7 linked regions of the Bombyx mori genome follow. The main gene of each other region encodes a partner of the protein of the gene in region 7 in a complex. Links are inferred from orthologs where the notes say so. Each region holds a gene or a part of one and is shown on either strand. Other genes may lie near its edges.

The links.
Region 1: probable nucleoporin Nup54 (region 7) and nucleoprotein TPR share a complex: the UniProt entries of both Drosophila melanogaster proteins name them as parts of the nuclear pore complex. The link is inferred for Bombyx mori from reciprocal best matches to the Drosophila melanogaster genes Nup54 and Mgtor.
Region 2: probable nucleoporin Nup54 (region 7) and PCI domain-containing protein 2 homolog share a complex: the UniProt entries of both Drosophila melanogaster proteins name them as parts of the nuclear pore complex. The link is inferred for Bombyx mori from reciprocal best matches to the Drosophila melanogaster genes Nup54 and PCID2.
Region 3: probable nucleoporin Nup54 (region 7) and nuclear pore complex protein Nup98-Nup96 share a complex: the UniProt entries of both Drosophila melanogaster proteins name them as parts of the nuclear pore complex. The link is inferred for Bombyx mori from reciprocal best matches to the Drosophila melanogaster genes Nup54 and Nup98-96.
Region 4: probable nucleoporin Nup54 (region 7) and nuclear pore complex protein Nup214 share a complex: the UniProt entries of both Drosophila melanogaster proteins name them as parts of the nuclear pore complex. The link is inferred for Bombyx mori from reciprocal best matches to the Drosophila melanogaster genes Nup54 and Nup214.
Region 5: probable nucleoporin Nup54 (region 7) and nuclear pore complex protein Nup85 share a complex: the UniProt entries of both Drosophila melanogaster proteins name them as parts of the nuclear pore complex. The link is inferred for Bombyx mori from reciprocal best matches to the Drosophila melanogaster genes Nup54 and Nup75.
Region 6: probable nucleoporin Nup54 (region 7) and nuclear pore complex protein Nup205 share a complex: the UniProt entries of both Drosophila melanogaster proteins name them as parts of the nuclear pore complex. The link is inferred for Bombyx mori from reciprocal best matches to the Drosophila melanogaster genes Nup54 and Nup205.

Annotation. Positions count from the first base shown.
Region 1 is NC_085117.1:12,300,011-12,303,510, reverse strand, and holds part of nucleoprotein TPR, read right to left. Parts: intron 3,279-3,500; coding exon 1-3,278. UniProt on the Drosophila melanogaster protein: Component of the nuclear pore complex (NPC), a complex required for the trafficking across the nuclear envelope. Functions as a scaffolding element in the nuclear phase of the NPC.
Region 2 is NC_085115.1:3,910,084-3,914,319, forward strand, and holds the start of PCI domain-containing protein 2 homolog, read right to left. Parts: upstream 2,801-4,236; 5' UTR 2,415-2,800; coding exon 2,199-2,414; intron 1,838-2,198; coding exon 1,669-1,837; intron 1,074-1,668; coding exon 265-1,073; 3' UTR 1-264. Other genes in the region: Nopp34 (nucleolar phosphoprotein), read left to right, coding at 4,012-4,092, 4,167-4,236. UniProt on the Drosophila melanogaster protein: Required for the export of nuclear mRNAs and involved in mRNA trafficking in the cytoplasm.
Region 3 is NC_085117.1:3,540,906-3,544,405, reverse strand, and holds part of nuclear pore complex protein Nup98-Nup96, read right to left. Parts: intron 3,353-3,500; coding exon 3,245-3,352; intron 2,241-3,244; coding exon 2,121-2,240; intron 1,278-2,120; coding exon 1,127-1,277; intron 471-1,126; coding exon 368-470; intron 1-367. UniProt on the Drosophila melanogaster protein: Part of the nuclear pore complex (NPC). Required for MAD import as part of the Nup107-160 complex and required for nuclear export of Moe probably via its association with Rae1. Plays a role in nuclear mRNA export.
Region 4 is NC_085123.1:8,954,961-8,959,164, forward strand, and holds the start of nuclear pore complex protein Nup214, read right to left. Parts: upstream 2,801-4,204; 5' UTR 2,559-2,800; coding exon 2,520-2,558; intron 2,207-2,519; coding exon 2,068-2,206; intron 1,789-2,067; coding exon 1,628-1,788; intron 1,135-1,627; coding exon 962-1,134; intron 109-961; coding exon 1-108. UniProt on the Drosophila melanogaster protein: Part of the nuclear pore complex. Serves as a docking site in the receptor-mediated import of substrates across the nuclear pore complex including emb, RanGAP and phosphorylated Mad. Protects mbo/Nup88 from proteasomal degradation at the nuclear pore.
Region 5 is NC_085123.1:528,829-532,967, forward strand, and holds the start of nuclear pore complex protein Nup85, read right to left. Parts: upstream 2,801-4,139; 5' UTR 2,688-2,800; coding exon 2,613-2,687; intron 2,541-2,612; coding exon 1,848-2,540; intron 1,219-1,847; coding exon 1,096-1,218; intron 595-1,095; coding exon 379-594; intron 1-378. UniProt on the Drosophila melanogaster protein: Component of the nuclear pore complex (NPC) that seems to be required for NPC assembly and maintenance. Required for nuclear import of phosphorylated Mad via importin msk.
Region 6 is NC_085121.1:1,024,873-1,028,372, reverse strand, and holds part of nuclear pore complex protein Nup205, read right to left. Parts: intron 1,925-3,500; coding exon 1,115-1,924; intron 1-1,114. UniProt on the Drosophila melanogaster protein: Plays a role in the nuclear pore complex (NPC) assembly and maintenance, but with limited role in NPC permeability. Required for specific nuclear import pathways such as Mad import.
Region 7 is NC_085121.1:5,997,377-6,000,876, reverse strand, and holds part of probable nucleoporin Nup54, read right to left. Parts: intron 2,705-3,500; coding exon 2,551-2,704; intron 823-2,550; coding exon 666-822; intron 86-665; coding exon 1-85. UniProt on the Drosophila melanogaster protein: Component of the nuclear pore complex (NPC), a complex required for the trafficking across the nuclear envelope. Essential for the nuclear import of nuclear localization signal (NLS)-containing proteins in an importin alpha/importin beta-dependent manner.

The sequences.
Region 1 (3,500 bases), on a different chromosome or scaffold from region 7:
AAGCTGTTCATTTTCACTAGTTAGTATTTTCTGTCTCTCTAACCAAGAAGATTTTTCAGTTTGTAGTTTTTCGATTGTGCTATTATTGAACGCTACCAATTCATTAAGTTGGTTTTGTGCTCTGGACAACTCTTCTTTTACTTGAGTCAATGTTTGAATATCAGTAGAATGAAGAATCATTTCATGTGTATATTTTTCTTCAGCTTTTTGTACTGCATTCGACAACTTAGATACTTCTTCGCGAGCTTTGTCGAGCTCCGTACGATAATTATCAACATTTACTAATGCAGTTTTCAGTTCTTCTTTAGCATTTGATAATTCTGTTTTCAAAGCAATGTTACTATTCGAGTGTTCTCCATTAGCATGAAGCGACAGTTCAGCTTCTAATTCGGAACATTTTTCTTGAAGTTGCTGTATTTTACTATTGTAATCTAAAAATTTGTTTTCGGACTCAGTTTTATATGCCTGATATTCTTTGTTCAGTGTTTTAAGTTCTTTTTCTGCCCCTTCTGAGATGTCACAATATTGTTTAATATGTTCTTTAGCAACATTCAGTTGTTCTTTTAGTGACTGAATTTCATTTTGTTTATCTATTAATTTATTTTCTAATTCCTTTATTTTTTTGACGGTGTCAAAAGAACCATCTGTATTAGGAGCAAGTGCAAATTTCAATTTTTTCATCAAATCTTCATTGATTTTATTTTTTTCAACGCAATCTTGTCTCATTTCCGTAATTTCCTTCCTCAAAACATCTGCTGCTTCTTTTTCTTCCTGCATACGTGTTTTAGCAATTTCAGTTTGTCGCTCAAGATGAGCTGCTAATTCTCTAAATCTATCTTGTTCTTCTTGCAGTCGGCGTCTTAAAGCAGAACATTCTCTAGTAGCTTCATCCAATCTTGTTTCTATTTTCGCTCGATTTTCGGCTTCAACTCGTTCAAGACTGGCTTTAATTAGTTCTAAATTTTTTAGTAACAATGACTGACCTTGTCTTTCGCGATTTAATACTTCTTTTTCAGTTTGAAGACGTATTTCAGCATCTTTGATTAATTTACATTCTAGTTTCAAATTTTCCAATTGTATTTCTGCAGCTGCTAATTTGCTTTGGGCGTTTAGAGCTTCATCACGCAGATGTTGAAGAGAAACTTCATGCTTTGCAATAGTAGCATTATATGCCTTGTTTTTATCTTCGAGTGAGGCAATTTGTTTCTTATATGTAGCAACATTAGTTTGCAATATCTTTAATCGTTCATTATTGTATTCAGATGTAGAAGCACATTTACTGTTGGCTGTAGTCAGTTTCGAAATTTCTTGTCTCATGTTGTCAATTTGTTCATAAAGCATCCTCTCATTAGTGATTTTCTCTTCTTTATACGTTTTAAATTCTTCTTTTAGAAGTTGTAAATGCTTTTCGGCCTCTCTGTATTTTATTTCAAACGGAACTTTTTCAATTGGTTTACTAATATCCTCGGATGATGTATCCATTGTAAAAGATCCACTTTTTTCCAACTCAAGAGTTTCTAGAGCAGAAGTTTCGCATCGCTTTCCTTTCATATGATCATGGTATAGTTTTTTAAACATATCCCGTTGTCGAATTAGTCCGTTAACCATTTTTGTTTGACGATCCTGAGCTTCAGTTAATTCAGTAACCCTGTTTTTCAATGATTCTATTTTGGTTTGCATTTCACCACTTTCAAACTGTTCTTTGTGACGTTCAAATTCTTCTTGTTTTTCTGTAAGATCTCGTACTAAACGTAAAAGTTTTTGATTGTTTGATTGTAGTTCTTGAATGTCGGTGAAAGTGACTAATGTCTTCGATATTATTCTAGATGAGCTAATGTCAGACGAATTAGATATATTGGATGCATTATTTGATAAATCATGGTCACCATTAGGCACAAGACCACCACGAACATGTTCTATTTCCTTTAGTAAGAAACAAACTTGTCTACCTAAGTCAGCTAACTCTCCCTTCAATTTTGTATTTTCACGATTGTAGTGATTAGCTATCTTTGAAGTTTCATTATAATCATCTCTTAGCCGGTTACACTCCATGACCAAGGAATCGATTTGCTGTGACAAAGCCGCATTGCTCTCTAAAGCTTCTTCATATTCAGCTTTTTGTTTTTGCAATAATGGTGCTTTCTCTTCTAATTCTTGTACAATGGTATTAATAGTAATGTTGAGTCTTCTGTTCTCTTCTTTTTCCTGGTTTAATTCATCAGACACTTTTACTAATTGTGAATATATTTGTGTCAGTGACATTCCAGATTTTAATAATTTGCTTGCAGTTGCAGCGGATGGTGCTAAATCACTCAAAGCCATGTCAAGATTGTGAGCATTAGCAGCTTTTAATAAATCATTCGCATGTTCTATTTCGTTTTTCAAAGAAGATATTACTTCATTTTTCTTTTCCATCATTTCTTCATGATCTACTTCTGCCTGCTTGTATTTAGTTTCTAACTCTCCATATTTATCAGTGGCTTCATTTAATAATTTTTGTAATTCTGATATCCCTTCTGTTAATTCGTGTGTTTTAGATTCAGCATCATCATGCATTGTTTTGAATAAATCTGCTAACTTCGTTTTTGCATCCAATTCCTTTTTAAAATTGTCTGTCATTTTGTTCTCTATATCTCTCTGTTCTACCAGCCTCTGGGCTAGACTTTCTGCACGAGCGTTTAAATTCTTTTTTATTTCATTTAATTGGACTATGGTTTCATTAGCTGCATTAAGTTCTTCAACCTTTTCAGCTAATTGTGTTTCCAAGCTCACCAGTCTACTTGTGTTGTTTAGTCTAACTGTTTGCAGTTCAGAAGTGAGCCTGTTAACTTCTTCTGTTAAGCCAGCAATTTGAGAATTTAACAATGTTCTTTCTTGTTCTATTCGTTTTTCACGATATTGTAAAGACAATTCTTTGCTTTGTATTTCGTCGTTGAGTGCCAATGCTTCACATTTTGCATCGATAGCTGCTCGTAATTGTTGCGAGAGTGCAGTATCATTAGTCGTCAATCTTTCTATTTCAGCATCACGCCTTTGCAAAATACGAGTTAAGTCATTTCTTTCATCAACTGCTGAATCTCTAGCACTTTTCAGAGATATAATTTCATTTTCTAATCGAGTTATTTTATCATGAGCTTTTTCAAGTTCAGCTTTCAAGGTTTCGACTTGCTTGCCTAGTTCTTCTACAGTTTCATCTGCTGTAATCAACTTCTTTGCCGCATCTTCGTACTTGGCCGTTTTTTCCAGTACTTCTGATTCAAGAACGGCGATTTTTTCACCTGAACAGTGAAATTGTTTACATTAACATATTTAAAAAAAAAAATTCAAGCGTTACATTTTATGAGATCTCCACGGTGTACTGGGTAAGACAACCGGTGTATTGGTATTGATTAATGCAGCATGTCCGGATTCAAATGCTCTCTCGGGTACATTTTTTAAAAATATGTATAAGGGTTTTCGCTATGAAAGAATTACATCGTGTCATAATATAAGAAAAATAA
Region 2 (4,236 bases), on a different chromosome or scaffold from region 7:
TTCTATTTTATTTAATGACAACCCTAAACACATTAGTGCTACTAAAATAAAAAAACTGGACTACTGAACTGTTTTGTGTATTTTTATGGATATTATATGTAATCAAAAAGAAAGTATTTAAATAGTGAAATTGCGTCAGATATACAATTGCTCATCATCACATTTCACTTAATCAGCCTTTATGCTAATGGAATCTTAATTTTTATTAAAACAATCAAAAAATTAAGTGTGTATTCCCCTAGGTATTATTTAAATGGTATAAATTTAATACAGACTAGATAATGGAGGAAAAGCATTTTGTTTACTGACAACCACTTTCTTGTGTTGGTATGAGATGTATCCTTTGATTTTTCCATCATATATGAGATTTGCAACAATACATTGAGTTTCATCTGAATCAACATCTTCCTGTCCCATGATTTGTAATGCTGCCTCGAAGCTGGCTATGTCTATCTGATGTGAATTCTCCGCTAAATATACTTTCCTAAACAAATTTCTGTATGCTGTAATCTTTAATTTTTCTACAATCAAATAAATACCAGCCGTTATGAAGAACTTTTCATGTTCCTCCATAACCATATCGATACCACGCAAATCTCCATTTTTCACAGCTGATATTAGATCCCAGAATTGTAGCAAATCATATTTCTCTAGTAAATATTTTGCGGGCATGAAACCCAACAGCATTTTCACAGGAACTAAATAAGTTAGAATGAGCCTTTTATTTCGTATGCTTCTTCTGTGACAATTTTCAAAAGCAAACGATAAGTATTCATCAGCTAGACGATAGTCTGAGTCAAACATGGCTTTACGACCCACAAAATATCTGTATGTAATTTGTTGGGCCAGTGGGAATTGATCTTTGAATGGTGAAGAATCAATGGCTCTAATCAATGGTTTGCAAAGGTGGAGCTTGTTTATCCTGAAATATACTTTAAGAAGTTGGTTTACAAGACACAACATGCCTATCTTTTTGGTATCCACATCTGAAGCTCTGTTGTCAGCAGCACAGACTCTGAAGCAAGCTAATAAGCTCTCTGCTGCTTTTTCCATAATTTTACTGCCATTTTGAGCTGAAATATTGACAAATGAAATTAATTGTACAGAATACAGATTATTTAACACAATATTGACTAAGACAACAACTCATGCAAGTATTTGAGATAATTTCGTTTTTTCGACATTGTACCACCATAACAGAGTTGAATCCTACCACCTGTGAATATACTGAGCACTTAGGGTTAGTCATTCTTCAAACAAGACTAAGGAGACAAATCTTGAGTAGAAGGGAACCTGCACTTAAACAGCCACCAGATGATGAGTGGTTACTAGAGTCTGTAGACGTTACTTTGTGAAGTCTGCCTTAAGTGATGAAGTTTAAGGCTGAATTGTATAGTGTAATTGCTGCACTATTCTTCAAGCTAGAATACATGATTGCTTTAGTACAGAAACAAGCAGTTTGGTAATACATACCTAGTTGTGCAAACTTATAACACAACCGACCATCATAAATACTATAAGATCTCATTTCTATGACACATTATTTTCCTTGGCATTTGAAGATTTCAATATGAGTACTCCAGGCATCTTATTCTTAATGCCCTAATCACTTGATACTATTACCATCTTATCTTAGCTCTTGAATGATGTATGCAAATTCATACTTACGGCTAGATGCCTCTGCTTTCTGTGCAACAAGTCTAAGATCTAAACATGCAGCATACATAACCGGAAGGCACCAGTTCTCTTCTTTCTGTCCCTGTAATAGCTTTACGACAGAGGCCACACATATACTCTGATGATCGTATGCCTCAATGTAATCACTTGCATATAATGCCTGGAATGCAAAGCATTTTTTTTTATTGCTTAGATCGGTGGATGAGCTTACAGCCCACCTGGTGTTAAGTGGTTACTGGAGCCCATAGATATCTACAACGTAAATGCGCCACCCATATTGAAATATAAGTTCTAAGGTCTCAGTCTCTGACCGAAATGCATTACTGCTTCTGACTACTACTGACTCAAGAGGTCTTGCCACCAGTAAAAGTATTTGACGAGAAGCTAATAAAACGATATATTTAAAATACACTTAACAGGTAATGTTCGCTGTAGTAACGGCCAGATTAATAATGGTACATTTACTATTTTTTAATCTATATTTATCAATTTAAAACCAGAATTAAATTCATATATCTCACCTTAAGACATGATAAGTGTGCAATTACAAGTTCATCTAATGGAGCAACACAATTTCCTGTGACAAGGGTTGCAATATCGCTAGATAATAGATTCCTATTGTAGACATGTTCATCTCTTAGAGACAACAGTCTAGACAATATGTTACCTTGTCCCGTTCTGTACATACGTTCCACACATTGTATGTATTGATTAAGAGTGCCAGTTATCATCGACATTGTGGTTAGGTATTACTGGATTTTTAACTTTGAATGACTAATTTTAATATACAAAATTACAAGAATGTAGTTTTTCCTATAATTTCGTCAATCGACATTTCATGATTGATATTTATCAAAGAATCAGAGTTTATTAGCGCAAAATCGGTCTCATGAAAACATTGAAATTTTGTTTTCTTTATATGTCATTTCCACTTTCCACAGCTCAACTGGAGAAAGGATAAGTTTTTCATTCCTTGGATAGGCACACGGAAAGAAGTCTATACCGCTAAAGCATTTGGAAGGCCAAGACTATACTTATTATGTGAAATGGAATGTAATTAAGTGAAATCAAATGTTTATTTATTTTTTTAGATGAAGTGAATTATAACAGCGGCAACCATACATTTTTTTTTGTTTGAGACACAAATTGCAGGCATCATACTGTACTAACGATGGGTTAATACTGATATTTGTCAATATACAAATATATTCGTTATGTAATATTATAATACCTTAACTAATACGTGAATATCCTGATATCTTAATATACTTTGATAAAACGGGTAAACGAGTTAAACCTAATACGGTATTCGTGAAATAAGTTAATAATCATAGATAATACACATTAGTTATTAATAATATAAATAGTATATTGTATCTAGGAATTTGACTTCAAGGAATCAAGAAATGAAGGTTCAAACATTAAAAAGTAATGCATTTAAAAATTCCCAAGCTGTATTACGAATATCTTAATGAATACTAATATATCGGTCTCACCCTTATACTGTACTGTGTTCCATTTAAAAAAGTAACCAGTGCAGCTATTAAAGGAATGGCTTCGCAGTATACTAATTTTACATTATATTTTACAGTGCTCCCAGTGTACATCGGAACATAGCCTTAAGCATTAACACAGGTGCGAAAAAGCTAGTGAACCACTGTTTTATACGTTTAAGCATAAAGTAAATGAACAAAATGTAACAAGTCACATTAATCCTTTTCTCACGATCCCGCCTAAAGGTCTTGAGCTTTTTGTGTCTGTTACACGAGAGTTTGTTATTTCTACCAGATAGCCAAAGGGAATCTATTTTTATATTAAATTGATGTACCGTATTTGCAGCTAAAAAATAGATAATATGTAATGCCTACACCTATCTGACGCAAACGATACATATTAAAACGAACATCAATCTGTGCACTTAATACACGAGAAGGCTTGGGACTTTTTGGCGGGAATGCGAAGAGTGAAGTTGTGAGATTTGTTTTATTAAATTTTTGTCTATTAAGTGTTTCTTCAGGTTTAAATGTGTAATAACGGTGGTTTATTAACTATTTAGTATCTGTGAAAGTGCTCGTTCGTCCCGTTTCATCTCGTCTCGTCTCGTCTCACTTCGTTTTCATTTTCATTTTCATTTTATGACATTTCGTGCATTGTTTTATATTAATCAGCTTCCTTCATTTCATACCACTTTTCATAAAAATAAAAATAAGACTTGACTTAAAGGTCCTACTTACCAGGTCATAAAATCCCTAAAAATTAAAAAAGAAGACTTTGTTGTTCTTTATTTACACTTCTAAGTTTTTGCTTAAATCACATTTTAAATTACGAAATAAAATGGAAGAAAACGTTGCGTTGGATTCTAGCAAACAAAAAAAGTTTATCAAATCCATTAAAGGATTGCAAAAAACTATAAAGGTAGTATTAATAACATTATATATTTGAGACTAGGTTATAAAAAACCAGTGTACTTATTCTTATTTATATCACAGAAGAAAAAAACGCAAGCGAAGGATCAGACCCCCGTCACCCCTAAAGTACAAGAAGAGAAAATAAAAAAAA
Region 3 (3,500 bases), on a different chromosome or scaffold from region 7:
CAAGGGTACCTGGGTCAGGCAGAGGGACTACGGTCCTCTCTGTGCTTTATACTGCTTGCTCCATGAGTGTGTTCAGAGGAATTGGTAGAGATAGTCCCTCCATACCTTTATCATTGTCGCAGCATTGTTTTGGCGTATATTTTAATGCTCAGCTTATTTTCACATATTTAGCCAGCAAAATAATTGTACATGCCCGCGCTAAGACACGTCTGTACAGGTCGATACATATGATGAAACTGCGCAACAGTCGGTATTTCGACGCTCCGCATTTTAGACGCATTAATAGAGAGTCGATCTATCGACCATTCGCACTCGAAGGGACGTATATACATATATTTTGTTTACGTGATTAAACACGAGTCCGTACCCTGAACACCCAGCTGCCCGTTTGAGGTCGATACTCGATAAACTTGGTGTCATGTTTCTCGCAAACCCTGCGCAGCTTCCCTTCGTAATCCAGTTTTAGTAATCTGCAAATAATAATTAAAAAAAAATGCAAATCAAAATTACATTGAAGTATAAAAACGTTGTTTTTTTTTTCTATTACAGAATTTGTTATGGTCTGATAACGAGACATTTAAGGCAAATCTTTTTATATATTCACTTCTTACATTCTGTTATAATATTGTTACGCCTGCAAGAGTAACACCATCTGTCTTCAAATAGCAGAAACGAATATCAAAAGAACTAGTAAAATTGAGAACGCTTGAGAAGTGCAACGCCATCTATTATCAAATAGCGGGAGTTTTAATTTGTACTTCTTTGTACAATTGTGAAATAAGATGAACCTGATTAATTTAAGACTAATCATTTGTGATGAAATTAAATGTAATGGGATGAGCTAGTATGATATACATCAATGCGGACCTCTTGTGAGTCCGCACGGGTAGGTACCACTACCCTGTCTATTTCTGCCGTGAAGCAGTAATGCGTTTCGGTTTGAAGGCGTTGTAACTACACTGAGACCTTAGAACTTATATCTCAAGGTGAGTGGCGCATTTACGTTATAGATGTCTATGGGCTCCAGTAACCATTTAACACCAGGTGGACTGTGAGCTCGTCCACCCATATAAGCAATAAAAAAAAAAGTTAAATTAAAAAGTATTCCGCGGCCAAGCTCCCCCACCTGTCGGGCTCGGTGATGAGTCGTTTCTCGGTCTTGTCCCGGGGCCACACCCGGTCGAGGGTCACGATGGCCCGCCTGTTCAGGCCGACTCCGACCGGCGGCTTGTCGCTGTCCTCCGGATAGACTATCACCTCCTTGTTCAGGAAGTGCACTGGAAAATTTCACACAATTATTAGCGGAGCCCGTGGACCTTAACAGTATAAATATCGTCACCCACTTCGTGATACGAGTTCTCAGCCTCTTAGAACTGGATCGCATTACTGCTTCACGGCAGAAATAGGCAGGGCGGTGGTTTCGTACCCGTGCGGTACTCACAGCACGCCTTACTATCAGTAATTATAATTTTTGCGGGTATTTTTTTTTATTTATATATTAATAGGTGAAGCAAAAACTTTGTACCTCTTTTTACGAAAATTGCGCGGACGGGGGAGTATGCCTACACTTATATTTCATATAGAGAAGGAGTGCAGAATGTTTTTTTTTTTATTATAAAATATATAAAAAATACATTAAATCAATAACAATAAAATCATTACACACACTACCATGTATTTGACACTGCACATAGATATATATATAAACTCTTTCTTTATCGTCAAACTTTTGTTATTGTTTAAAGTGTGTGATCAAATTGAGAATAGATTAATATTGTTTGTCTTTAATATTATTTATCTACAGTGTAATCTTAGCGAAATCTGTAATTATAGAAGTTTAATAGTCCTTGACAATAGAACCATAATAATGTTCAAACTTATAATTTCAGTTAATTATAGTCGAATCTCGACTACTGCGGGACCACTAGTAATTTTTATTAGACGATGCTTTATTCCTTCACCGTGGAAGTCATTCGTGAACATTTGATAAGTACGTATTTCATAAGGACTGTCGGAAGTCTTGGGCACCAGGCGTCTCATCCTTCAGGCGTCGACTTCACACAGTCGACTGCGTCCCAGCGGGGTAGGGGAAGGTGGGTTAGGGGGGCGCAGAGGCTCACCCAGGGCGTCCAGGTCGAGGCCGGCCACGTCGATCTCCGAGTCGTAGTACACGTTCCCGTAGTTCTTGCGTCCGATCGTCAGGTGCGGAACAGGACACGTGCCGTCCGGCCGCATGTAGTCTAGAAACGATAACACGAATGTAATAACGTCGATTCTCCGACCCGGTAATGGAGAGCGTTCGGTAAGCGAGCGCGCAATGGTCAGCGAAATGAAACAATAAAGTAGCGGACCAACCGGTCGAATACAAATTAATTCGGATTAGGCATCAGGGTCATATGGTCGCTATTGTTTAATGCTTTCTCTATAGCGTTGTTATTCTTTGCCTAAGGAAAAATCCCTACTCAATCGTTGCGGGTAGGTGAGCTCACGGAGGTTCTAGCCTGTTGACGTTGTTAACACCGGCCCTAGCAAGAACAGTGCTTCGCAGAATCTACCACCGGATCGTTATCGCGATCCACTGAGATGATCCGACAAGAAACTCATTTGACTGTGTCTATGGGTTAGATTACACATCAAACTCTTCGTCGTACTCGACGACTAATTCTTTCGAGTTAATTGGCACATGGACATCACACAGCGAATGTCGTTAGCCGCTTTAAGGTCAAAGTCCCAACCTCATATGCGACATTAACATAACAATCGTATCATACAGCATCAATTTTCTGAACAAATATATTTATTCCTTTGTTTTGTGGGTATTTCTCGATTTTAGACAAGAATTTAGATGAAATTTTAATCTTTAGCATAGATACTTGACACTAATTAGGATATTTAAATTTAAAACTAAAATAACATTTAGAATTGTGATAACGTTCAATATTAGTTGTTGGCGACAAATTTTTTTTGTTTGTTTAATGAGTGGACGATCTCACAGCCCACCTGGTGTCAAGTGGTTACTGGAGCCCATAGACATCTACAACGTAAATGCGTCACCCACCTTGAGATATAAGTTCTAAGATCTCAGTATAGTTACAGCGGCTGCCCTACCCTTCAGACCGAAACGCATTACTGCTTCACGGCAGAAATAGGCAGGGCGGTGGTTGGTACCTACCCGTGCGGACTCACAAGAGGTCCTACCAAAGTACAAAATTATATAGATAGATAGGGGGAGAAATTCTCTCACTTATCATGTCGTCCAAGGAGGGGATGGTGTAGTAGCCCGGCCTCGTCAGCTTGACCCCGGTCGGGTGGGGCGGGGCGTCGCGCGGCTCCACATTCTCATCTTCAGATACTGTAAAATAAAGCACCCACAATCCGGCATATATACATGTAAAGAACGAACCTTTATTATTGAATAGTCTTTAGTTTTTGAAGTGAAACTTCTAATGCGACTTCAAGGTTGCGGTAAACGTTCAACGCTCGTGGGGAGGGGGAATAGA
Region 4 (4,204 bases), on a different chromosome or scaffold from region 7:
GGAGCTGGTATTGTTTTTGCAAGAGTCAAGTCTGGTTTGTACTGACACAGTGTCCCGTCATTGTTGCCTGTCACCAACTGTTTCCCTTTTGGACTCCAACAAATACATCTGTGAAAGAAATTGATAGAAAACCAGTCATGAGCGGAAGCTGCAAAATTAACACTCCAATCGACTATAAATCTGGAGTCTGTGTTGTAAAGGATGAGAGGCATGGTGTACTTGTGTTGAGTGATACAGCTGTGTAGTTATACAAATCCTAAAAGAAGGTATTAAAAGATATAAATTTCAAGCATGTGTTCTATTCAATCAATATATAATAATACAAGCTTACTGGTGGTAGGCCCTCCTGTGAGTCCGCACAGGCAGGTTTTTTTTTTTATAGCTTATATTTTATTAGAAACAGAAATGCGTTTCGGTTTGAAGGGGGTGCAGCCATTGTAGCTATACTGAGACTTCAGAACTTATATCTCAAGGTGGATATCACATTTACATTGTAAATGTCTATGGGCTCCAGTACCACTAAGCACCAGGTCGGCTGTGAGCTCGTCCACCCATCTAAGCAATAAAAAAAAATCCTCAAGAGAGGAATAGCATTGCATAATAAAAATCTCACCATCAACATTTATAAATTTGAGAATTATAATTATATTAAATTAAAAATTGTTTTAAATTTATAGAGTGGCAGGTCATTGTTTGGTAGATATAAAACTTTTTTTAAAATACAGTCAATATACAGAACAAGAGAAATGTTGATTTGCAGAGAACTGCTAGTATTGTTGTAAGCTCCCCTTTCTTTTGCACAGATGGATAAGAGCCCGCTGTCTGGACCTTGTGTTCAGTTGTTGTCAGAGCCTATACACATTAGGTATAAGTTCCAATTATATATTTTCTTTTAATGTATAGTCATAATTTTTGTTTCAGTTGTGAAATAGTTCATTAATAAAAGCAATTCAAAACTTACCTCGCTTTTGTTTGTACTTTCTTGACCTGGTTTGTGGTAACTTGACAGGCAAGTAAGGTACCATCTTGGAATGCTAATGCTAAAGAGTCCGGTATGCAAGGGTTCCATTGTAATGCTGATACAAATGTTGATGGATTCACATTGGTCTTCATAAATATTGATGGTGATACATTCTGTGGAATGAATATAAGAGGATGAAGCCATTTATATAAAGAGAGATCAAATCTTCTAGAGTACTGTATTTCGTTTAATCAATAGATATTTACTTTAAATATAACTACATATTTAGAATTAAATTACTAAATACTGACAAATACTGAGCAAGACAAGAATTCGTAGGTCAGAACTAATTGGAAGGTGGCAACAATTTCAATTGACTACAATTTAGTTAGCCTTTCTTTCATTGTGTTGTACATTTATTCATGAGTAAACTAAGGTCTGCTCTTAGGTCCTTGAGACATCATGTTAGCATTAGAAACAAATAAATTGACAGCTTGTTAACATAATCCTGGAATATGAAGTATAAATGCATAAAAGAGGGGATAGATATTGCATAATATGAAAATGCATTAAAAGAGTACTGTTTTATAAGGAGGATTACTAATACTGTATTATATTTCCTAATTATTAATTCAATTATCTTAATAAATACATTAGGTGTATTACCTGATTCTGAAAGTCTGTGACTTTAAACACGGAAAGAGATTGCGAACCAGCCACTGCAAGTAGTTCATCATCGCAACTAACAGCAATATGCGTAGCACACTCTTGAAGCTTCACATTTGTATGTTGTGTCTCATTAGATATCAGTTGTTTTAGGGAATAGACTAAAACATTTATAAATAGACTTTACTCAAAATAGATGTTACTTGAGCTAGTTCATTTGAATATTGAAAGTGTTGCTATTTTTTGGTTAAAAGTTGTTTTACTAACTTTAGGGTATTTAAGTGACTTTTACTTAATTTCAGTTTCACAATTTATATATTGAACCCATATGTACACTCGGAAAACATTTTTTTTATACCCAAATTTATTGTGATCAACATAATGTATTTTAAGTTTTATGTCATTCAATTAATTTTTTTTATATATATTTTTTTATTTACCTGAAAGTGTCCCATCAGGAGCAGCAATGAAAACAATGCCATATTTGCTGCTACAGGCCACCAAATTGTAACCCCGATTTGACAATTTTTCTGTTGTGTTAAATACTTTTGTCTTGTGTTGCAATTTATACAACAAATTCTAAAAAAAGAGATTATTTGGATTTGTTATTATTTTTGTTTGGAATTTGTATTGTATTGGATGCTATGAAATTTATAGCCATTCATTTCAAATTATGATCTATTAAAGGAAGCTTTTAAATGAAATGAGAGCTTATTTTTATATCCTAATATTCATGGGCCAGTTTTAATTATAACATTTTCTTCTAAGCTTTGTTGTGTAACGTTGATTTCGGTTTTTTTTTCAATTCATTTATTAATAGGCACTAGTTATCCTGTCTGAAGTAAAACAATATTTATAATTTAAATCTTTAGAAATAAAATTAAAAACCTACCGGTTCATCAATAGAATTTGGTCCATACTTTGATTCCATGCTGCAGTCGGTTTCAAAGTTCTACCTACAGCTACCTCACAAAGAATACCTCAATATCTTTATCAAAATACGCGCTACAAGCCTGCGTTCAATACATCGGTAATTTATTGATTAAGGATACAAAATTCGAAGAGTATTAATTTGTAGCACAATTGGCAGTCAATTCATATCGTTTTGAATCATAGAACTATCAAAATATGTAATAGCCTAATAGGTAGTAAATTGAAGTATTTGCAGTTGACTAGGTCTAATCTGTGAGTTAAAAAGACTTGACTTAAAGGTCCTAGTTACCAGGTCGTAAAATCCCTTGAAAAAAGAGGGCGTGCTACACGAAAGGTATTCGTTGAATGCTCTAACAATTTGATAATTTGGTATGTAGTGCACTTTTTCGTTATAATATAATGACGTTTAGTGTGCTTGAGCGAATTAGAACGCATGTTGTGGGCTTAGTGCAGTTCAAAGGGCTTTATGACAACGAAGCTTACTGACGTATTTTTGATCTCCACATTCGATTTGACAATTTTTTCAAATATGTAATCTTTAAAAAAATATTAACACTTATTTACAAAATAGTATGATTGTGTCGCTTGCATTCCATCTAATTTAATACAATTCCAAATTTTTGTTTGAACATCAATGTGAATATGTTGGTTACAAGAACTTTATTAATCACTAAATTCGAGGTTTTTTAAAATAACACTTTTCAGATTTTTTTTATTGCCCGTGTAGGCAGACCAGCATACGGCCCACCTGATGGTAAGTGATTACCGTCACCCATGGACTTCAGCAATGCCAGGAGCAGAGCCAAGCCGCTGCATACCGTTAAATTGGCTGTAGATGAGAGGAAAATCTTAAAAAAAGTTATTTGACTAATTTAAACAAGTATTAATCATAATCTGTTACGTACTGTTTACCTGCACAAATTTTATGGCGGGAACGTGATGCAAAACGTTATATTTTGTTAAGTTATGTATTACTTTTTTCATGACGATTTCTAACAGTTCATCATTTTCTTTTGGTAAGCGAGTTTTCTACAAGATGTCCACGACGACCTCTGAACCCGAAGGAGGTAGGAGTGTTGTTTTATTTATTTCCCTACCTAATCGTTGGTAGCTTAAGCGGCTATTCCAGATACTCACGGGCGCAAAAAAAATCGGTAACATTGTCCCAAGCCACAGCAATGCTTCGTTGAGTCTACCACCGGATCGGAATCGCGACCCACTAAGAAGATCCGTCGAGAAACTCAGTGGGTTGTGTCTATGGGCTAGTTCGCACGTAAAAGTCTTCGGCGTAATGGACTACTTTGACGAGGACGGAGATCGGTGCTTGAAGAGCCTAAAATTACTGTGAGCTTTAGGGGATTCGACAAGACGTGTTTTGAGCGACGGCGGTTTTGCGTTGCAACGACACAGGGGTCGGATATATAATTAGCGGCGGCCACGATTAGGAATGTGAGAGACCGCAATAAACACTGCAACAAGATACGTGCCCACCCCAAGGGTGCCTGACTCGGCAGAAACAACTAGGTATACACCAGCATCACAGTTAGCGGCTCGCCCGGTAGGAGGCGAAAAAGTCGAGTATTCAACCAAGTTTTAGGAAATAGGCTGAAGTTTGACATTAGTATTAAGTGGTTTCCAGAGCCC
Region 5 (4,139 bases), on a different chromosome or scaffold from region 7:
CGGACATCAGCAACCGAGACTGGACTTAAGTCAAAAATAGGGATCCGGGGTACGGATAGACTTGAAATCTTAAGCAACGTGGCCGTCTTTGACGAATCACTGAGTGACACAGGAGGGAGAGAAAAATGCTTATTGAGGGCGCACAAGTCAGTATCCTTGACAGAAGAGACCGGAGTTTTGCCAATGCCGACAGATTTAAGGAATCTCCAAGTATGAGCAGGGCTGCGATTTTCAAGTGATTTGTGAAAGTAAAGTCTTTTAGCATCTCTGCACAAATGGTTGCACCGGTTGCGCAGTGCTTTGTATATGGCCAGGCTGTACCAATTAATTAAAAATTTAACTAATCTTTTTACCAGCTTACTGGCATCTGTCACTTACTTGATGCATATCACCTTCCAACAATGCCCGTAAAGTCCTATCCAGCCTAGAGCCTGAGGGCATAGATCCCATTCCAGCACAGGCCGATGCTGCAGCAGACAACTCATGAGTCCTAGACCAAGGTGCTGTGAACATTACGTAGCCTCCCAACATATCAAACCACGATGTGTATGTGCTACGTATTGACTCAAATGCTGAATATTCTCCTATGATTAACTGTGGGACAAAATTGTATAAATTAGTAAACGAATTACACAATGTTTTAGTATAATAAAAAATAAGCCTAATTAGCTCACTTCATCTTCCTAAAGCCTATTTTAAGACTTAGTGTTAATTAATGAACCACTTAATAATATAAAAAAATAATTCTTGAAAACATTTTCAATTAAGAAAAAAATTCATTTCACAATATTCAAATCATAACTCATTTATTTTGAAGTTATAGATTAACTGATTAAATTAATTAAATGTTCTTATTTGCTGTATATTATGCTGTTATTATTACCGTTATTCAACAGGTATGCTTGCATCTGCCATGTTCCTATTTGATTTGGCTTAGAACGGGGAAATTAGCATAGATAAATAGGTAATTTTACAAATTTTTTGAATGTAGTAAATGATGATGATGGTGGTATACACTTTAATCTAAGAATTTTGAGGACAAGAACAGTTTCTAGTTTATGCAGTTACTTAATTGATTCACACATCTTTACTTACTCTCATAATAAGTTCAAGTTTTGGTTGTGATGCCAACACTCTGCTAGTAACCTTAGCTCTGCATTCAGCCTGCCAATGCTTCCAAGTTACTGTAAACTCCCCAGTTGATATACCACCATATATCTGTAATTTTATATCCATGTTATGTAGATGTAAAGTGTTTATGGCAAGATGTGAGGTAAGATCGAACTTTTAGCTATAGGATATCCCAGGTTAAATTTGTTTAATAATATACAACTTTTCATAACCACAATGAAGTCTTTGATCTGACACAATGGTTACATAAATTAATAATAACATAAATTTATAAATTTTGATGGTGTTAATTGTTTTTCCCAAAATAGTTTTCCAGCTGAAGTTTGACATGTGTGGACTATAACCTATATCATGTGAACAGTCATTCAGTAGTTTAGACATAAAAATCTAATAAGACAAGAGTAAAGTTCATATATGGCTGAGCCTTTACTCGCCCACCTGTCCTGGTGAAACTGGAAAGGCCTCCGGGCCACCAGTAATCTTTCATTCATAAAGAAAAAACATTCATATAAAATATCTTATTAGCATGTTCCAAACATCTCTAAATGGTGATGGAATTGTTCAGATAAATTGTCTCTTAACTATCCAAAGTATAATTTTTGCTCTTAATTAATTTATACTGTGGAATACTTAATGAAAATCAATTGTTCCCTTTATTTGTGAGGAATTTAAATGATAATTTGACTTTAGAAATTATATTTCATTTTTATACTCACACTATAAACAGGCATACTCCGTAATGAATTATCAACAAGCTTAAATTCATTTGTTTCTGATAATGAATTTAATTTCAGTAGAGCTCGGGCGACATCTACTCGCCCTTGCACAACCATGCCAATCACAGTATCCCAATAGTCATCGTGGTCTTCTGAACCTCGCTCACAGGCCTCCAGCAACTGCGCTGCAGTCTGCTCATGGCACGGAAAATGGAATCGAACCCATTCTAGGAGGTATGGCAACACAATGTCTCCGGGAATCTTATCTATGTAAAGGATCTCACATAAATGCCAAATACATTCAACAGAATAAAATATTGTAATGTATGATTGTAAATTGATCATGTCGCTGCCGTCTTTCGCATCATTAAGGGCTTCTTGCAAGTTTTCAATGCACACTCTTATAATAGAACGATATTGTCGTGAAAGTTTTAATAATTCCACGTGATTGTCATTATTTTTTGAAGAATCGACGAGTTTCTGCAGAGATAAATATGTACCATTGGATTCGTTTACCAGTTTTCGTAAAATCGGATGAAATAATACAATCTCGTGACGTATATTGAGTATTTTGTTTTCGACATCATTTTTTGGTGTTTTCGAAACAGTTTGACTGCGTGGGTAGATAGAAAACTTGTTACCACTCCTCCACGCACATCCTACGCCCTTATTGAAACATTTTTCTGGTATATTCTGTAAGAAACAAAAAAAATAACTTAACTCAAACATAACCTATATATTCGTTGAATCATGTTAATTACTTACAAATGTTTTAGCTCGAATAATAGGACTACTATCATCGCCACGAACATTATTGTTAGAAAAAGTCGTTATATTCATTTTGTATTAAATCTTTCATGTACACAATGCAATTTCACATAAAATTTTGTAAACATTTGAATGCGAAACAGAATTGATCAGAAACCGCCGTTTCAAATGCGCTGATTTTTTTATTTGTTTCACACATAGAACAAGGTGAAAGCAAAGGAAACAAAATCCATACAGCCAATTATTCTTTTTGGTCAAATGCGTAATAATAGTGGGTTAGTAATCTTTTAGCATGTGTATATGGGCAGGTGTGAGAAAATAAAACAAAATCGCAGGACATGGCTTAGCGGTATCTTTTTCAAAAATACGCACACAATTCTATTTCGACGTCACCTCATCTCATCTCATTGCAATTTCAGATGATTCAATTTGGTTTCATTCCTTCCTATTAGATTTAGATAAGTTGACGAGCAATACGCACCTGTTATTTTTTATAATTCGTTGTCTATTCGCTGGTGTCTAAGGGGCTATTTCAGCTACGCGCAAACAAGTAGATGAGCTCAGAAATTCAACCTGAGAAAATTTGCTAACACTAGCCCTAGCAAGAACAGTGCCGCTGCAAAATCTATTACCCGATCAGAATCACGACTCATTGAGAATATCCGGCCAGAAACGCAGTGGGTTGTGTCTATGAGTTAATTCGATCATCGAAAACTTCGTCGCAATTGACGTGATTGATGAAGAAAGTAACCGTGAGTGAAAGGATCGGATAGGTCATGTTTCGCGATGTAATTTTACGTTGCCTCGTCCTTTGAGTCGGATATGTAATAAGCAGCGGTCACATTAAATAGATTATCGTGTCGCACCGAGCACTACGTTAATATTGCCACCGATCACAAAACATAAAATCAAAGACTCATTTGTATTGTATAGACTATGTAGTCCACCTTTCATAGCGGAACGCTTTCTAACTGTTATGCTTTAGAAACAGACAGAACAGTGATACCCAATAATGAAATTTACTGAAATCTACATGTAATTTCGTTCGCGTTCGACTTTTGTACTTCGGGTTTCAACTTCTGCACTTTCACAGATGCTAAACGATTGATAATCTACCATGATTATACGTTTAAACTAGAAGCAACACTAAATTAACAAAATAAAATAATCCATACAGTTACCTTGCCTCCCCGCCGAAAAGTTTCTTACAAACTTTAAATACACGAACATACGGCCAACAGTGCTAGACAAACTTTAACCCAAGATAACTAAAAAGTCGAGTATGATAGCCGTAAACATATTTTAAAAAGGTATGCATTGACAGTTGACGTTTTTGTTTGTTTTCGTAGTTTGACGCTCGTGATTCATTGTGAAACGTTTATCCCCTATAATAAAAAAAGTTTTTAAGTTTATATTTACCCTGAAATTAAATCCTTCCAGTATTTACAAGGTATAAAGGTACGTGAACATTTGATGACTTTGCATTTTTATTTAATAAGTAATGTCGCTGACCGGATGACCTGT
Region 6 (3,500 bases), about 5.0 Mb from region 7:
TTATTCAATGAGATTAAGTTTACAGTCTGGCCAGCGAATCATGGCACAACTAAATAGCGGCAATCCAAAATATCTTCAGTTGGCAACATTAAAGATAACATAACACGATTTGATACATTTGTATTTTTCTATGGCATAGTCACATTAATATAAAAATGCAAAACTACCCTTTCATGCTATATTTAATGTTGTCAGTTGTATATATTTTGAATTGCCGCCATTGTAAGTAGTTGTGTCACGATTCGATGGCCATACTCTATTTACATTGATTAAAATACCTTTATCCTAAAGCAAAAGAGTATTAATAATTTTTTACACTCGATTTCCACTAAATCGATCCTATTTTATGGATGCTCTAATTCTAATCCGTACGTTTGTGGAGCTAGTTACGTATATTGAAATAAGTGTTGCAGATGTTTACAAAGATTGTTTAAAACAAAAAATAGAATTCAACTTATTTTCTACACTTGGCCATTGTCAATGAAGCTAAGATTTCAATAGGTTAATCAAGCAAAATAGACGAATTTTTTGGTATATATCCCATTCGTGTAACGCTTAGGCCCAAAATGGGGTTTCTCCTTTAATATATACAATATCATCATGAGAAATAAAGAATTGAATTAAACTTTCCAAGTGTGACACTGAATGATGAAAAAATGCCTTTAAGTCAGAGAATACAGATAGATGAATATAGATTTCAATAGAGAAAATCATTTAAATAAATAGAGTCATTTACAAATTTAAAGACGTATTGCTTGTTTCCCTAAACATACCAAGAACCATAAAAAAAAATTTTGAACATAGACAAGTTTATGATACCTGAATCTATACTAATATATAAATCTACAGTGATTTTACGGATGTTCCGTTATAACTACTGAACCGTGCATTCGATTGACTTGAAACTTGGTATCCATGTAGAAAATACATGTACTTAATGGATAGGCTAATATTTATATGAGTGTTGGACTCCCTACAACAGTTGCGGAGGTGTTAATGATGAGAATCTTTGTGGGGGTGAGAAATAATAATGTTAATTTTAAATGCCCAGTGAAGCAGACAGGTACAGCTAGTCATACATAAAGTTATGCAAAAAATATAATATCAGACTCACCTCCTTTAGGCCTTCATCGTCTTGCAGCAGACTGTCGATCAAACTCCTCAAATAGCCTTGATTGATGAGTACATTCATCCAGTCAGTCCGAGGATTGATTTCAATGAGCGTCTCCAGGCAGGCCAGCGCCACCATCCTGCACACGTCCTGCCCCGCACTTATACAGTCGCCGCACACTATCGCACACAAGTTCTCGCCGAATTCACTGATCACATCCACCACCATGGCCTTCAGAGACGAATCTTCGCTCTTCTCCTTCGCTTTGGAACTGTCGAGCCTGCTGACGTACGTGTCGTTCAATTCTTGCTCGGGCTCCGCTGGACTGGGCTTGAGGTTCACTATGTTCAAGTAGTTGAGCAGGGCTCCGTACAGGTTGACCCGCATGTTCTGACTAGCCCCGCCTGACACCAGTATCCAGCTCAATATTTTGTTTAGTATGAATTTTAACGTCAACGAATTGGTTTGCATGATCTGATTTGACGGCCCGAAGAATGAAGTCTCGAATTCCGAAGACGCGAGGTTCGATTCCCGCTTCTGTAAGATGTAGCAGTGGCGCAGATTGACCATCAGCAGCAGTACGGTGCCCGAGGCCAGGTTGCCGAGCTGCGGCAGGACCTCGTCGGGCGGTATCTTGTTGAGTAGGTCCTGTAGGATATTGAGCAGCAAGTTCTTCCTGGCTTCGAGGTTGAGGATGTCGTGAGGAGCTACACAGAACAGCATCTCTGTGAGCTGACGCCACGAGTCGTAGTAGTGGGTGAGCGTGGCGGCGAGGTTGCGCTGGCGGTTCACCTCCGTTACGTAGTCTAAGACCTGTCCAAAAATATTGTTGCATTAATTCTACATAATTTTGATGTATTTTTTATCCCATATAAGTGGTCACGGCTCATATGAGATAGTGAACTTAAAAGAAAAAAATTACCTTATTTTGGTCAATATAATTTTTTATCTGAAAACAGAATCTGCTACTAACAATAAAAAAGCAGCAGTAAGTAACCTATGCAGTGTTGTAGGAGTGGGTGATATAAATCGTGTATAGATTCAATATCTATATATCGCAGCAATATCGTTGAATCCGATATCGCCCCGCACGAAATCTATATATCGATATCAGCCGATACACGATATTGCTCGATGTGATGCGCATCGCCATATCGTATCGATTCGTGAATCGAAATCTATATTTCGATATCAGCCGATACACGATATTGCTCGATGTGATGCGCATCGCCATATCGTACCGATTCGTGAATCGAAATCTATATTTCGATATCAGCCGATACACGATATTGCTCGATGTGATGCGCATCGCCATATCGTACCGATTCGTGAATCGAAATCTATATTTCGATATCAGCCGATACACGATATTGCTCGATGTGATGCGCATCGCCATATCGTACCGATTCGTGAATCGAAATCTATATTTCGATATCAGCCGATACACGATATTGCTCGATGTGATGCGCATCGCCATATCGTACCGATTCGTGAATCGAAATCTATATTTCGATATCAGCCGATACACGATATTGCTCGATGTGATGCGCATCGGCATATCGTACCGATTCGTGAATATCAGCAATATTCGTTTGGTTCGTATCGAATCAGCCAGAGTGAGTGAGCGCACGATAGGGATATCATGTGATGAATGAAACAGAAACAGGCATTATCCATACAATTGTAAACCTTATATTTAAGTCCATATGTCTGTAGATTATTCTTAGCGTATCAGCAGGATACAATTTAGGAAAGAAGTTTCAACTTTCGACCCTAACTTGAATGCAGTATAGCCTACTTTCATTCTTTAAATTTAATTTTACGCGCTTTGACCTTGAACTAGAATTTTTGGACAAGTGTTTATAAATACTTAAAAGTTTTTTGTGTTTGATTTTTAAAGTACACATTTTTCTATTTTTAGTTGAATCCAAATAATTGAGTTTATTTCTTGTGTTTGTATTAAACTTTTGAAATCTACACTCTTTTGGTATATTTTGTAATTTTAAATTAAGACACAAAATACTAAAAACTGAAAATAATGTAGCCAGTCCTAAGCCTGGTAAAAGCATGAAGGAAAGTTTTTTTGATATTTTTATTTTCATGTTCTTTTTATTACTTTAAGATCATATTATAAATTGATATCAGAAAACCAACCGTATAACGTTGACTTAAATCTATATCTACTACGATATTATATCAGCGTATCGTTTCAAATCTCAAATATCGCGAATCGAGAAAATCTACTAGCATCCATCAATATATAGATTCAGAAAATATATAGATTCAATATCCGATATTGATCCTCGATATATAGATACGATTCGATACGCGGCAAAACCGATATTACCCACTCCTACAGTGTTGTGCTCGGAATCTCTGCTAAACAATC
Region 7 (3,500 bases):
TTTGACAGAATCAACATTGACAGCTAAGTTCGGTTTGTTCCCTAGTAAGCCTTGTAGTGATGTAATTAAACCTTGTTGGTTATTCCTGAAATAAAATTTAGATTAGAGAATCAGAAGACACATTTTAAAATAATGTTTAAGAGTACTTTATTGGTTTGTAGGGCGTTTTGTGAGATCGCACTGGCCGGTACTACCACCCTGCCTATTTCGGCTGCAAAGCAGTAATGCGTTTCAGTTCGAATGATGATGAGCAGTAGTTGTACTGTAAGCCTGAGACTCATGTCTCAATGTGGGTGACGGCATTTATGTTGTGTGTCTATGGGATCCGGTAACTACGTTACACCAGGTGGGCCAGATAAGCTCATCCACAAACATGAGTAACAAAAAATTTACTAAAAGTTGCTTAATAACTGGTTTTGTTAATGCGAGTTTTGAATGAATGAATAAATTTGCCGCGGCTGTATGTAAATCTATTATGTCACATCAAAATCTAAGTTAGATGCAAAATAATTTTATTTCATGTAGTTTTCATGTCATCAGTTTTTATGATCCCAAATGAAAAGAAAGAAAAATATAATTTTGCAATCGTAAGAACAACTTTAATACTTATAGTATATTTCCGAAAACACTGGTTGTCTTAAACAGAAATAAAATAAAGTTCTTACTTAATTTCTTGTTCGCTTTTGTTAAAAATCATAGCAACATGTCCATCCTTATCTTCCTTCTCACAGAGCTTTGAGTAGCCAACTGCTTTAAAACGACAGAGCGGATTTTGCTCTGTCAACGTCAAAGGCGGATGGTTTCGACTATAGTACGCTTGACCTAAACGAGAAAAAAATCATACTTACATACATACATTATAAAAGTTGACTGTTTGAATCTGTTTCTGAATTTAAATCTAAATATTCAATATTTAACAAATTAATGTAATTAAAAAAAAAAAAAATTATAGTCTATAGTAATAATATAATATCTATAGAATTTATAGTTCAAATAACAATGTGCAAGAGAAAATTTTTAAGTAAATGGAGAAACCTTGCTGCTCTGTGTTCGAATCTTACGTACCACAGGAACTGCCAAAGGAATTTTGTTATAACTAGAAGTCCCGCAGTAGTCGAAATTCGACTATAATTAATTGGAATTGTAAGTTTGTACACTATTATGATTGTATTTTATACTTCTATAATCACAAAATTCGCCAAGACTACACTATAAAAAAATATTAACAAAGAAAAACAAAATTTTAATCTCAATTTGACAACAGACGTCAAGAACAAAAGATTGACAATAAATAGTATGCATGCGTGTGTGCGTCAAATACATGGTATGTAGTGTGTGTAATGTTTGCTTTATTGATTTAATGTATCTTTTATGCATTATTTAAAAAAAAAATTAGCAATGTGCACTTCTTCTCTATATTCTCTATAAGTGTGGAAAATTTCATAGTCCTCCGTCCGCGCAATTTTCGTAAAAAGGGATACAAAGTTTTTGCTTCACGTATTAATATATAGATTCCATAATGCCCTTTTTACTACCAAGCAAACTCATTACTGGAATTACTGCGTCTAGCATTAACTAGTATGGCGGCGATGATCTTATGTAACTATGATATTACGAGTTTATAGAAATTCTGAGCAACTTTTCATTATAAGTTCATCAATAAATTCTAATTTCATCTTTCGCCTGCGATTGTAAAAACAAGATGATGGGATCATCTCAAATAATTCCTCGGAGTGCTCCCCATGGAACATACGGTACAAAATACAGAGGGAACTAAGGTCTCTCCGCAGAGGTTACATACGACCCGTGAGAATGGGATTATCAATAATCCGAACGGCCCTTCTTTGTATGTAGTCAAATGTCACCATACACGACATCGAAGGGTCAAAGGTTATTTTGTTTAAGCGACATTTTTGCAACTTTACAGAAGAGCCATTTAACGTTTAAAATTTGGAGAAATATCATAATAAAAAAACTTATTCGGCTATTTCAATGAGTAAACTTAATTGAGGTTAAATTAAACATCGAACTGTTGATGTTAATCTATACATATAAATAAAATTGGAGTGTTTGTTTGTAATATTGAAATAGCCTCTTTTAACTACATGCATATATATATATATATATATGATACATACACCAATATACATTTTTTACAGTTTTTGTCTGTCTGTCTGTCTGTTTGTTCCGGCTAATCTCTGGAACGGCTAGACTGATTTTGACGAGATTTTCACTGATAGGTAGCTGATGATATAAGGAGTAACTTAGGCTACTTTTTTTAGACTAGCTTCGCCCCGCGGCGTCACCCGCGTTACGACAATAACCGCGTGTACTCAACTATCAATAATAAAATTTAATGTTTCCGAAGCGAAGCGAGGGCGGGTCCCTAGTACCAAAATAAAACGCACCTTTAATTACAAATATAACTGTCGCGTATTAAGCGTAACGTCGCTTAAATCAAATAGCCTTTCACCCCTCGATAAGTTTATTGTAGTTATTTTATTTTTATTAATCAGCATCGAGTGTCAAGTTTATACTGGTCACGCATACCTGTACCCCATTGAGCTTGAATCAAATTCCACTTCGCTAAAACTTGATCCCTTTCGTCGCCGAACACACAGCAGTTGAACACGGCCGCGACTAACGCCTCGTGGGCTGTCGCTGGCGCTTGCTGTTGCTGTTGCTGCTGTTGTAGTTGTTGTTGCTGTTACGATTATAATCTCTAAATTAGGACTCGTTAGGTTCGCTATGGAATGAAAGCTTTCGCAAATACATATTCATCAAGGCTTAGTTTAGTCACGTCAAATTGGCGAAAACCTAAGAAGCAGTGTAATTCAATTGTAATTGATTTTTAAAAAAAACATTTGAATTATTTATAAAAAGGACTTGTTTTTAGTGTAATGATGATATAATATATTTGAAGTCGTTGTGGCCTAAAGGATAAGACGTCCGGTGCATTTGTATGTAGCGATGCACCGGTGTTCCGAGTCCCGCAGGCGGGTAACAATTTTTCTAATGAAATACGTACTCAACAAATGTTCACGATTGACTTCCACGGTGAAGGAATAACATCGTGTAATAAAAATCAAACCCGCAAAATTATAATTTGCGTAATCACTGGTGGTAGGACCTCTTGGGAGTCCGCACGGGTAGGTACCTCCACCCCGCCTATTTCCGTCGTGAAGCAGTAATGCGTTTCGGTTCGAAGGGTGGGGTAGCTGTTGTAACTACATATACTGAGATCTTAGAACTTATATCTCGAGGTGGGTGGCGCATTTACGTTGTAGATGTCTATGGGCTCCAGTAACCACTTAACACCAGGTGGGCTGTGAGATCGTCCATCCATCTAAGCAATAAAAAAAAAACTTTTTTTTCCTACCTATGCTGAACCTTGAGAGGCTATTTCAGCTTCACTCTAATGTGTAGGTGAGCTCACGGGGTTCAAACCGGAGTGTTGCTAACACTGGCTCTAGCAAGAGCAGTGCTTCGCAGAATCTACC